3 linked regions of the Arabidopsis thaliana genome follow. The protein of the gene in region 3 interacts with the protein of the main gene of each other region in a pairwise test. Each region holds a gene or a part of one and is shown on either strand. Other genes may lie near its edges. The genes, in order: KAT1, AT2G23830 and SAR1.

The links.
Region 1: the proteins of SAR1 (region 3) and KAT1 interact in a two-hybrid assay, tested with the Arabidopsis thaliana proteins (one study listed by BioGRID).
Region 2: the proteins of SAR1 (region 3) and AT2G23830 interact in a two-hybrid assay, tested with the Arabidopsis thaliana proteins (one study listed by BioGRID).

The regions. Positions count from the first base shown.
Region 1 is NC_003076.8:18,745,315-18,749,069, reverse strand, and holds the start of KAT1 (1), read left to right. Parts: upstream 1-1,663; 5' UTR 1,664-2,508; coding exon 2,509-2,687; intron 2,688-2,842; coding exon 2,843-3,058; intron 3,059-3,142; coding exon 3,143-3,298; intron 3,299-3,393; coding exon 3,394-3,451; intron 3,452-3,605; coding exon 3,606-3,755. UniProt on the Arabidopsis thaliana protein: Highly selective inward-rectifying potassium channel. This voltage-gated channel could mediate long-term potassium influx into guard cells leading to stomatal opening.
Region 2 is NC_003071.7:10,141,385-10,145,139, forward strand, and holds AT2G23830 (PapD-like superfamily protein), read left to right. Parts: upstream 1-2,083; 5' UTR 2,084-2,261; coding exon 2,262-2,313; intron 2,314-2,439; coding exon 2,440-2,510; intron 2,511-2,596; coding exon 2,597-2,678; intron 2,679-2,784; coding exon 2,785-2,900; intron 2,901-2,998; coding exon 2,999-3,127; 3' UTR 3,128-3,330; downstream 3,331-3,755. Other genes in the region: AT2G23820 (Metal-dependent phosphohydrolase), read left to right, coding at 333-457, 542-579, 660-770, 883-999, 1,092-1,133, 1,218-1,288. UniProt on the Arabidopsis thaliana protein: May play a role in vesicle trafficking.
Region 3 is NC_003071.7:14,043,503-14,047,257, reverse strand, and holds the start of SAR1 (synaptobrevin-related protein 1), read left to right. Parts: upstream 1-1,714; 5' UTR 1,715-1,920; coding exon 1,921-2,134; intron 2,135-2,586; coding exon 2,587-2,728; intron 2,729-2,821; coding exon 2,822-2,942; intron 2,943-3,134; coding exon 3,135-3,197; intron 3,198-3,323; coding exon 3,324-3,473; 3' UTR 3,474-3,755. Other genes in the region: RALFL18 (ralf-like 18), read left to right, coding at 426-737. UniProt on the Arabidopsis thaliana protein: Involved in the targeting and/or fusion of transport vesicles to their target membrane.

The sequences.
Region 1 (3,755 bases), on a different chromosome or scaffold from region 3:
AAATTTTTAGACCCTACACTACTCTTAGCATGCATGTGACAGCTTAAACTTAAATTTAAACAGTTAACATGAACAACCCCACTTGCACTAGGAAGACAGCAAATAGCAAACTTAAAGCAGTTTACGATTTCTGGTCTTTTAAGGCAAGGTTTAGTAACCCAGTAATTCCTTTTGATTTGAAATATATGAATAACCGAAATTAAAAAACAAAAAAAAAATCACAAAATACTAAAATTTGAAAGCCGAAATAATTCATTTTTCAATAGTTATAATCATCTTTTAAAAAGTAAGTTAGATCATAAAACCTAATATAAAACTTTTATTGGCAAAACTAATTAATCACGAGAAAATAATATTAAAGTTAGCTCATGTTATGTTTATATTAGGAATCTCTCATTTACTTTATTTTGTTTTGTTTTGTTTCTATAATGATATTAGGATTCAGGAAGACAATAAACAAAATATCAACAAGGAATCATGAAAGATACATTCGAACGGGCTCAGATCGACGCAGAAACAAAAAGCTTTGGAATGATTTAATAATACAAATTTGGCGGAAAGGTTTGAAGAATTTATACTTGGCATTCTATACTAGCGAACGAAAACAAAAGTTTAGTCAAATATTTAGGATTACCAAAAAATCAATATTCGTATACAAATGTGTTTTATTATAAACCATGATTTTTCATAACTTTATTCTTAGTTGTTTCAATTTGTTTTCTCTCATTTCTCGTTCCTATTGTAGAAAAAATTCCTGATTCTTTTTTCTTTTCTTTTGTTTTCCCATGTCAATTATAACCGCATTAGAAAAGGTTAGCACATGTTCATTTGCACAGAATGTAGTCAATGTACAATTCATCTATAATTTATCACCTTTTTGTTAAAAATATTTATAGCCATGTTATATATATTTTATCATGTTGTGTTTTAAACTCTAGATTTGTTCTTTCACAGTTTATGGGATTTATCATTTCATATATTTCCTCCTATGAGTAAGATGTCATTTTTAAATTCTTAATTAAGAATTTAGAAATCAAGTTTATTATTTTGTTAAAATTTATAAATTACGTATTTTTCCTTTATTAGTGAGATTAAGATATAAAGAGTCTAGCACACTAGAGAAATGAAAACATACATATATCTAGAAAGGGTTTATAAGAAATTAGTAAATGGAATCAGAACATGAAGGAGAAGGGAGGGGCCACCATACCGACGGGAATGAGAAGTATGGGACGGACAAGAAATCAAGTGTACACACATGAAAAAACCCACCACGTGAAGATCTCCTATTGGTGTGTCTTCTCCTAAGTACTAAGTATAAACCAAAGTCAAAACACAACAAAGACATATTGCTTGCGAGCCAGCGAGTGTGTCCGAGTGAGAAGAGAGTTTGGGACTTCACTGTTTAGAGAGCCTCATTCGCTACCTAGATTCGGTTTATCCACGTGGAGAGTTCACGTAGCTTCTATAATAATAATACATTATATAAGCTGTTTCGGTAAAATAATCTTAGAGTTTCACTTCCCATGCAAAAAGATTAAATGGACTACTATATTTTCTATATGAGTGTTTTGGAAATAATCTTCCAAGTTTATGGCTATTTAGTAAAACTCAATCCAAAATGAGAACAATAACTTTTTTTTTTTTTTTTTTGCAATGAGTACAATAAACTTATGATTGGTTTTGGGGACTAGAAAATAAAATAGAGACATATACTTTAAGAATAGTTGATGAGAAAATAAAACTTTTTTCGAAGAAAGAAAAAAAAATATACTCTGGCCCCTTACATATTCTGTCAAATGCCATTTTATTTTCTTTATTTTGCTTGGTCCATTTCTGGATTCCTGAAATGAACACACCATAATTTTCATGCCCATTTTTGTCCTCCCATTAACACTTACCAAACACCAAACGTACCTTCCTTCCTTTATATGTGTCTCTATGTCTATATATCACTCCCACCTTCAAATGCTAGGAAAGTGGACATCACACCATAGTCTGATAGTCATGAATCTCATCAAGTAGAAACCTCCAAAGAAACAGATTGCGTTTCCTCTTCTTCTTCCTCCTCTTTCGAATCTTATATTTTCGTGTCAAAAAAGAAACAAAATATGATGATATCTACCGCAAAAGCTCAATGTTTGCCACTTAAATTCTGTCTCATCTCTCAAGATTTTTGATCATCTCACACTTACTCCGTTCCGCATTTTACGCCTTTTCTTCACCATTGTTGCTTCTCGAATCGAAACCATATTGGTTTTGCAGCATTAATGGTGCACTGAGTCTTCTTAAAGCCGTTAACCTTTCCCTGCCAAATTCTCAACCAAAAAGAAAAAAAGATAACAAATGGGTCACAACAAGTTGCCATAAAGGTCCCAACAGAAGAAGAAAAGAGAAGTTTCCCCGTGTTGCTTTGTCACAAGCTTCATCACTATTTATAACTACCTTGCCAAGAAGAAAGCCTAAAAAGGTATAACAGTTTCTTTGTCTTTAGAGATCATCAAAAAGATGTCGATCTCTTGGACTCGAAATTTCTTCGAAAGATTCTGCGTCGAGGAATACAATATAGACACCATAAAACAGAGTAGTTTCCTCTCTGCCGATCTTCTACCATCTCTTGGAGCCAGGATCAACCAATCTACTAAGCTCCGCAAACACATAATCTCTCCTTTTAATCCACGTTACAGGTAATTTTCTCATCTACTAAACTCTGTTTTAAGTACTCTGTTTTCAACTATGTTTTCAACTATTCAGGTTATAAGTAGTTTTAACTACTCTGTTTTTACTCACGTTATAAGTATATTTAAAGACTCTGTTTTCAATCCTCTGTTTGTTGAAACAGAGCGTGGGAGATGTGGCTAGTATTACTAGTTATTTACTCAGCTTGGATTTGCCCATTTCAATTTGCTTTCATCACCTATAAAAAAGACGCGATTTTCATCATCGACAACATTGTTAATGGCTTCTTCGCCATTGATATTATTCTCACCTTCTTCGTCGCTTATCTCGATAGCCACTCCTATCTTCTAGTTGACAGTCCTAAGAAAATAGCAATAAGGTGAGAAACCTTTTTTCTTAACTTGAAACCTTTTATAAGTGAATGAGAATCTCAAAGTATGTTTTGAAATTGTAACATTTTCAGGTACCTTTCGACGTGGTTCGCTTTCGATGTTTGTTCCACAGCACCATTTCAGCCACTAAGCCTCTTGTTTAACTACAACGGAAGCGAACTAGGATTCAGAATTCTTAGCATGCTCAGGTTATGGCGTCTCCGGCGAGTTAGCTCGCTATTTGCAAGGTTTGCTTCTATGCTAACTAAGAGACCATACTCTTCTTAGGGTTTAACTAAGAAAGTGCTTACTCAAGTCTAACTAACTCTTACCTTTGCTTCAGGCTTGAGAAAGATATCCGTTTCAACTATTTCTGGATACGTTGCACAAAACTCATTTCGGTTAGTTCCAAAACAGAGCAAAACTAATCTCACTTATAATAAAGCATTTTAAGCTTAGGGCTGTCCATTTAGGTGATCTATTCTTAGGGTTTATTTGTCTTTTAAATGGACACCATATTAAAGCTAGTGACTTACACGTGCTTGTTGATCTCAGGTCACTTTGTTCGCTATACATTGTGCTGGATGTTTCAACTACCTGATTGCAGATAGATATCCTAATCCAAGAAAGACATGGATTGGAGCTGTGTATCCAAATTTCAAAGAAGCAAGTCTATGGAATAGATATGTGACTGCTCTTTACTGG
Region 2 (3,755 bases), 3.9 Mb from region 3:
ATGTTTGTTATCAATGTTATGATGGATCTGTGTGGAGATAGCTTGAAACGTTTCGTGCTTAATGGATTGTATTGGAATGTATAGTGGATTGTTACGGAAATGAAACATTGTCAAGCTTGGCTGCATCTGTTGACGGATTGTAGAATTCGTTTAGGGGAATGAAATGATTTCAAGTTTATGTGATTAATGGTCTGTGATTACTAAATCCTTGAAGATGTGAAGTTTGTCATGTGTTTTACTTTTTTGTGAATCAAGTGAGTTTTTGTTTGCTGATTTAACGATAGAGTTTGTGTGCTGTATCGTTTGGTAAACCATCTTTTTATATCAAATAGACAACTCCAAGAGCTGGATGGATTAAGAGAGATGTGAAAGATCCAGAATCTATAGCGGATCACATGTATCGGATGGGTCTTATGGCTCTAATTTCTTCAGATATCCCCGGTGTTAACAGAGACAAGTAAGTTTCTTGCTTGCTTCTCTCTTTTCAAGTTTCAACTGCTGTGAAAAAACTCTTCTTATATACATACTTTTCTTTCTATAGATGCATGAAAATGGCGATTGTTCATGATATTGCAGAAGGTTAGTTCTTTCACTTTTAGAGATTTTTAATCATCGATTTTCTTAATCACGAGTTATTTAGTCGAGTTGTTGTTGAGCAGCCATTGTAGGAGACATTACACCTTCTTGTGGGATATCTAAAGAAGAGAAAAACCGAAGAGAAAGCGAAGCACTTGAGCACATGTGCAAACTCTTGGGTGGAGGCGAAAGAGGTCTGTTTCTCTTCTATTGTTGAAATACCTTATGTATCTTCGTTCGACCTTCTTATGCTCATTTGTATAACACTTATCATCACTTCTAAAAATGTATATATCGTAATTGCAGCAAAAGAAATCGCTGAGCTTTGGAGAGAATACGAAGAGAACTCTTCACCTGAAGCCAAAGTTGTTAAAGATTTCGATAAAGTTGAGCTGATACTACAAGCTTTGGAATATGAACAAGGTAATGAATGACCAATAAAAGAAACTCTCTTTCGATAAGAGATTTAGCAGAAACTAATACTCATATTGTTTTTTGTTTGCTATTTAACGCAGATCAAGGGAAAGATCTAGAAGAGTTTTTCCAATCAACAGCAGGTAATTTTTGTTGTATGTCATTATACTCTAAATAGATAATCTGAATATGGTTGAAGGCTTTAAGCTTGTTACTGTTTGATTCAGGGAAGTTCCAGACTAATATAGGCAAGGCTTGGGCGTCGGAGATTGTTTCAAGAAGACGAAAGCAACATTAGTTCTCACTTGACTCTTTCTTTTTGTTTCTTAACGTCTAGCTCAGTGGAGTTCAAATACTCGTACGTTTCAAATTTAATCATCTTAAGGTTTTTCTAATAATCTTCGTAGCTGTCTTTACTTGTTTTGTTACTATCACTAATAAAAGATAGCTAGCTAGTGACTATCTTATAGATAGCTAATGAAGATCAAAAAACTTAATCAAGCTCTTAAATTTTATTTTAAGAAAGTATCATTGGTTCCTCAATATAAATTTTCGGATCGTTAATAGAGGTCAAATGATTTTTCTTTGTTTTGTTTTGTTTCAAGATTTTGCACGGGTTAAAAGTTGAATAAGAATAACGAATAGAGTATAGACACTTCATAAAGTGTAGTTTCCCTGCCACACTTAGATCTCCTACTAACCTCACTTAGATTAGATTTCTCTCTAGTCTAAAAGTCTTTAAACCTTTTACCATTGGGTTTCACAAAATTAACATTAGTAGTTATGTCTTTTCTTTTTAAAAACATATTTTAGAATAAACCATATCTCCAACCGAAAACTCCAAACTCTCTCCGACGCTTATCCGCATAGTTCTTTTGTCGATTTTGAGCTTCTTTTATCTTAACCTTTAAGATTTTGATTTTTTCCGATGTTCATGTTATTAACCACAAGTCTACAATTAAATTATTATATTTTTTTAAAAATGATTCTTGCGCGAGAAGCTACTTAGTGGACTCGGAAGGAGAAGGGAAATTGGTAGAGGTTTTAATTTGCAAAACTTATAATAATATAATAGTAGTAGTCGTAACAAATGGTTTAGCTGATTATTCAACATGGAACTTTTCAAAGAATGTTTCAGTTTTAGTTGAACAGACAATTTTTACCCTTGTCGTAACAAGACAAATAACGATTTTTCCGACTCTCTTCATTCGATCTCTCTCCCTCTCCCTCTCTCGATCGGAAAAGTTTGAATCTCCGGCGATCTTCTCAAGATGAGTAACAACGAGCTTCTCGAAATCGAGCCTATGTATCTTCAATTCCCTTGTAAGTTTTTTTTTTGACTTTTTCTTGTTTTCCCTGATTTTGCATGTCTTTCTTGTCCATAACCAGATTTTGTTGAGTTATGGTTTACTATTAAATTTCGCTATTCACTTGGCTGAGTTGATGTAGTTGAATTGAAGAAGCAGATGTCTTGCTCTCTTTACTTGACGAACAAGACAGACAATAACGTGGCCTTTAAGGTAAAACAAAGTTTTCCGAGTCATTAAATTGTCGTGATTATCTCGTGTTTCTAAGGTTTCTCGTGATTCTCTTTATTTTATTTGAGGTTAAGACGACAAATCGGAACAACTATTGCGTTAGGCCTAATTATGGACTTATTCTTCCAAAGTCGACTTGTAAAGTTCTTGGTCCGTTCTCTAATCGTTTTCTTGGGGAAACTTTTTTTCCCCCTTCAACTGCCAAACTTGTTCTTGGACTAGGAATTTGATGAATCTTTATTTGTTGTTTGTCTAGTGACCATGCAAGCTCAAAAGGAAGTTCCTTCTGATATGCAGAGCTTTGAAAAGTTTATGATTCAAAGTGTACTGGCTAGTCCTGGAGTCACAGCCAAAGAAGTTACTCGTGAGATGGTACTGATTCACATTGTTGATTTGATGAATAATTCACACTTTGGCTTTTGGTTCCTTAAAGCATTTGTTTCGTTTTTTTCTGATGAGCAACTTTGCAGTTTAGCAAAGAATCAGGGCATGTAGTTGAGGAGACTAAACTGAGAGTTACTTATGTTTGCTCCACCACGACCAACATCACTAGTTCACCAAGGACTAGAAGAGGGTTTATATTTCAGTGTTTTTGTTAGACATTTTCTCTTTACTTCATTGACGATATTCATCACCAGTAACACTCTTAGCGATGTCTCTTGCTATGGCGTTTGGAGCTGCTTGCCACGAGCTCGTAATAGCGGCTGGTAAAACTCGATTGATTCTGTACAGTAATTTGTTTGTAAAATAATTATGAGACCCAGTTTACTTTGTATATAATGCACTAAAATCTAAACATCACTGACCATCTATATAATCATATCCTTATAGCTCAAACCTTTGAAATTCAAATAAAATAACACATATCTTAGATAGGCGTGGGCATTCGGGTACCCGTTCGGGTTCGGTTCTTTTTTTCCGGGTATCGGGTCTATTCGGGTAAGAGGTTGAGAACCATTCGGGTATTCTAAAAATTCAGTTCGGTTTCGGTTCGGTTTCGGGTCGGTTCGGTTATTTTAGTAAAAATGTAAAAATAACCAAAAATACCCAAAATATTTTTGGGTTCGGGTTGGATTCGGGTTTTTTACTCATATATACCCAAATCTACCCGAAATACCCGATTGCCCGTAAATATATTTGTTACTTTTTATACAAATATAACCAAATGTAAACAAAATACTTAAATTACCTAAAAGAAAACTATAACATTTGTTACTTTTATCCCAA
Region 3 (3,755 bases):
CGGAGACGTTATAACGGCAGTATAAGACGTTATAATCATGTTCCAATGCATCCCCTCAGTTTTGTGTTAAAAACGAGCCATCAATGTTATCATATATGGAAATCATTATTGAGGCTTTGACCAATTAATTATGCGAATTGACCGACTTTGATCACTATACAGAGCAAAACAAATCCACTGAATCATTTATTTGTGTAGGTTCATCTTTTTTGGGCACCGTATTCATTTCTTATTCCATGAATTTGACGGAGTAATTTTGATTTTCTTTTTCGAGTAAGAATCTGGTCAAATATTCGATGAACCTCTACAAAAAAAATTAACCTCTATAAAAGTGTAGATTAACCAAGTGTTTCATCACAAACCATTTCAACGTAAACGAAACAACAACTACTACTCTCAACTTTACACTCTCTTGATAAGTCTCGATGATGAATAACATGAAGCTCTTGATCATCGCTGTGATGATCATCTCGGCAGCTTTGCTTCCAGCGCTTGTGGTCGGATCTCGTCCGGTAAAATGTGACAATTGCATGGACGGTGGAGAAAAAGAAGAGATCATGAAGATGAGTTCAGGTGTAGATGTGAGCCATAGGATACTTCAAGCTAAGAGATTTATAGATTACGAAGCATTGAAGAAAAACTTACCAGCCAAACCAGATGGTAAACCGGATAAACCGGATAACAAATACCGACGTGGTTGCAGTGCCGCTACAGGATGTTACCGCTTTACAAATTAAACATAAACCACCTCTCTCTTCTTCTTCTTCTTCCTTTCGTTGGTGTGTTTTATTTTATTTTTAATTAGTATTTCCAATCACATTTCTTATTATTATATTTTATTGCAATTTGTAAGCCTTTGAGGCATTATCTCCTAGAGAGTTAGAATAAACTTCGTTTAGAAATTGTCATCCTTTTCTCACCAAATGATTGACGAGTGAAAATTGATCTCATCGTAAAGTATTTTTGCGGTCAAGTTCAAACAAATTGATCCCTTCTCTCGCACCATATTCTTGTTTTATTTTATTTAAACGATCGATATATTTCCAAACCATTCCTCCAAAACTATCACACATTCACACCTACCAATTTCAACTTTAAATACAAAATATAGTCTTGTTGTAAATATAAGATACACTTTAGAAGTGTACACGTGAAATTCAGGTATATATATTACAATAGTAAGCAACCTCTAAGTACAATTAAATCAAGAAAAAAATAGATTTGAATTAATAGGAGCGGACATGGGATGCATGTAGAATTGTAGATTATCATTTATTATGGTGACTAGACCATTGAACTTTCCTATAACTTTGAAAATATTCTTATTTAGTCATTTAATTTAGATTACACCAAAACCCCAAATATGCCAAATTTTCTACAAATACCCCAAAAAAGACAATTTATAAAATTATTATCCAACCACATGTAATAATCTTTGATGACTTTTAAGTTTTAAATTTTAATAGTAGATTTAGATAATATAGGAACCAATTATTCAAAGGTCAAAGTTCAAACTAGCTTATCCAAATTCATTTTCGCTGATAAAAATACGTTGAAACTATCAAATAACAAAATACCATTACACCAACATCACCAACTTTTTAAAACCCCACAAGTTGATTATTTGAATTTGCTTTTAGGTCCTCAAGTTCAAGATTGTTTCAATTTGCACAATCTGCATAAATCTTTCTGAAATATAACTTTTTTGCCCTCTAAAACTCAAGGGTTTGATTTTTCTTCTTCAACTACGTTAAGATTTCTCCTACACTTTTCTTTTTCACCGTATTCTCTTTTAGTCCTCGATTCTCTACGCGTTTCAGCGTCAAGTCTTCTAGATCTCTAAAGCCTTCGTGCTCGCCAATATAAATCTCTGAGATCGGTCCCGTAAAATCGGATTCGCGTCGTTTTTGAGTAAAAAAAATGGCGCAACAATCGTTGATCTACAGTTTCGTCGCTCGTGGTACCGTTATCCTCGTTGAGTTCACAGATTTCAAAGGCAATTTCACATCAATCGCTGCTCAGTGCCTTCAGAAGCTTCCTTCTTCTAACAACAAGTTTACCTACAACTGCGATGGTCACACGTTCAATTACCTCGTCGAAAATGGATTCAGTGAGTCAAAATATTGCTCGATCTGTAAGCGTAGCTTGTTTGTGTTTTGATTTATCCATTGTTTGAATTAGATTTTTTGCCTAATTGAGAAATATGAATCGAGTTCTTATGTTTGGTATAGTTTCCAGTAATAATTATGTATTGGCGTTGATAATTAATTGATGTTAGATCTATGGTAATCAGTGATATTTTTGGTGGATCTATCAATGAATATTTGCAATTTTTGTTCTGGATCTATTGATTCTTTGCTTATTTGCGTGTAGCTTTCGATATCATGAAGTTTTTGGCATTAGTGTATTGTGTTCTTTATGTAACTCTGTTTTACTAAACCTAATTGGGTTTTGGGTGATGTTGATGGCGGATATGGTCTCTTTATGATAGTGTTAACTTTCTTATCAGCGATATATTGATGAATCTATTGCTTTATCTCTTAATATAGAGTTTAAAATGGACCGGTTTTGTTTTCGTTTGTGCAGCCTATTGTGTTGTTGCAGTTGATTCTGCTGGGAGGCAGATTCCTATGGCTTTCTTGGAACGAGTTAAGGAGGATTTCAACAAGAGATATGGTGGTGGAAAGGCTGCAACTGCTCAAGCAAACAGCTTGAATAAAGAATTTGGGTATGTGTTTTTTGATCTCTTTGATTGGTATTGAAAAGGGTCTATGATTCATGGGCATAGTTATTGATGGACTTCTTTTTGGCTTCTCTAAAGGTCGAAACTGAAAGAGCATATGCAGTATTGCATGGATCATCCTGATGAGATTAGCAAGCTTGCTAAGGTTAAAGCTCAAGTGTCTGAAGTTAAAGGTGTTATGATGGAAAACATTGAGAAGGTTTGATTCTGACCCTTTTTTCTTTTTATCGATATAGTTTTATGTTGTAAACCTTTTCGAACAGAGTTCAGCTTGTATGACTTTAGTACCAGGATCTTATGATTCGTAAAGCATAAACTGTAGAGAGGAATGTTTTATTCTCGGTTGTGAAGACATATTCTGTTGTTAACTCGTTTATGCATTCGTTTGCAGGTTCTTGACCGTGGTGAGAAGATTGAGCTTTTGGTTGACAAAACAGAAAACCTTCGCTCACAGGTTTGTTTTCTAAATGGTTCAAAGTCAATAGACCCACACAGAGACATGCAAGAGTTTGCAGCTTTCTCTTACTGATTGTTGTTTCTTGGGTTTCTAACTTTAAATTTGAACTCGACTTTATCACAGGCGCAAGATTTTAGAACACAAGGAACTCAAATGAGAAGAAAGATGTGGTTTCAGAACATGAAGATAAAGCTCATTGTCCTTGCAATTATCATTGCCTTGATTCTCATCATCATCCTCTCAATTTGTGGGGGATTCAACTGCGGTAAATAAGTCTGGAACATTTCTTCCCGGCGTTATCGACTGCGCTCTGTGCTTCCCAAGATCTCTGAGAATATCTTCATTCAGTTCGTTGTGCTACCTTTTTGTTTTGTTTTTGTTTTTGTGATTTCTATATTCTCATACTATATGTTTCTTCTTAGATTGTACTTCTTGAAATTTGTTTTGTATAGGCTATATATATTATACATATATGTATGCATGTTCGACAATCTGCAATGTTGCTATTGCTGGTACTGACACTAATTCTTGCAAACCAATATTTGGACGATACTT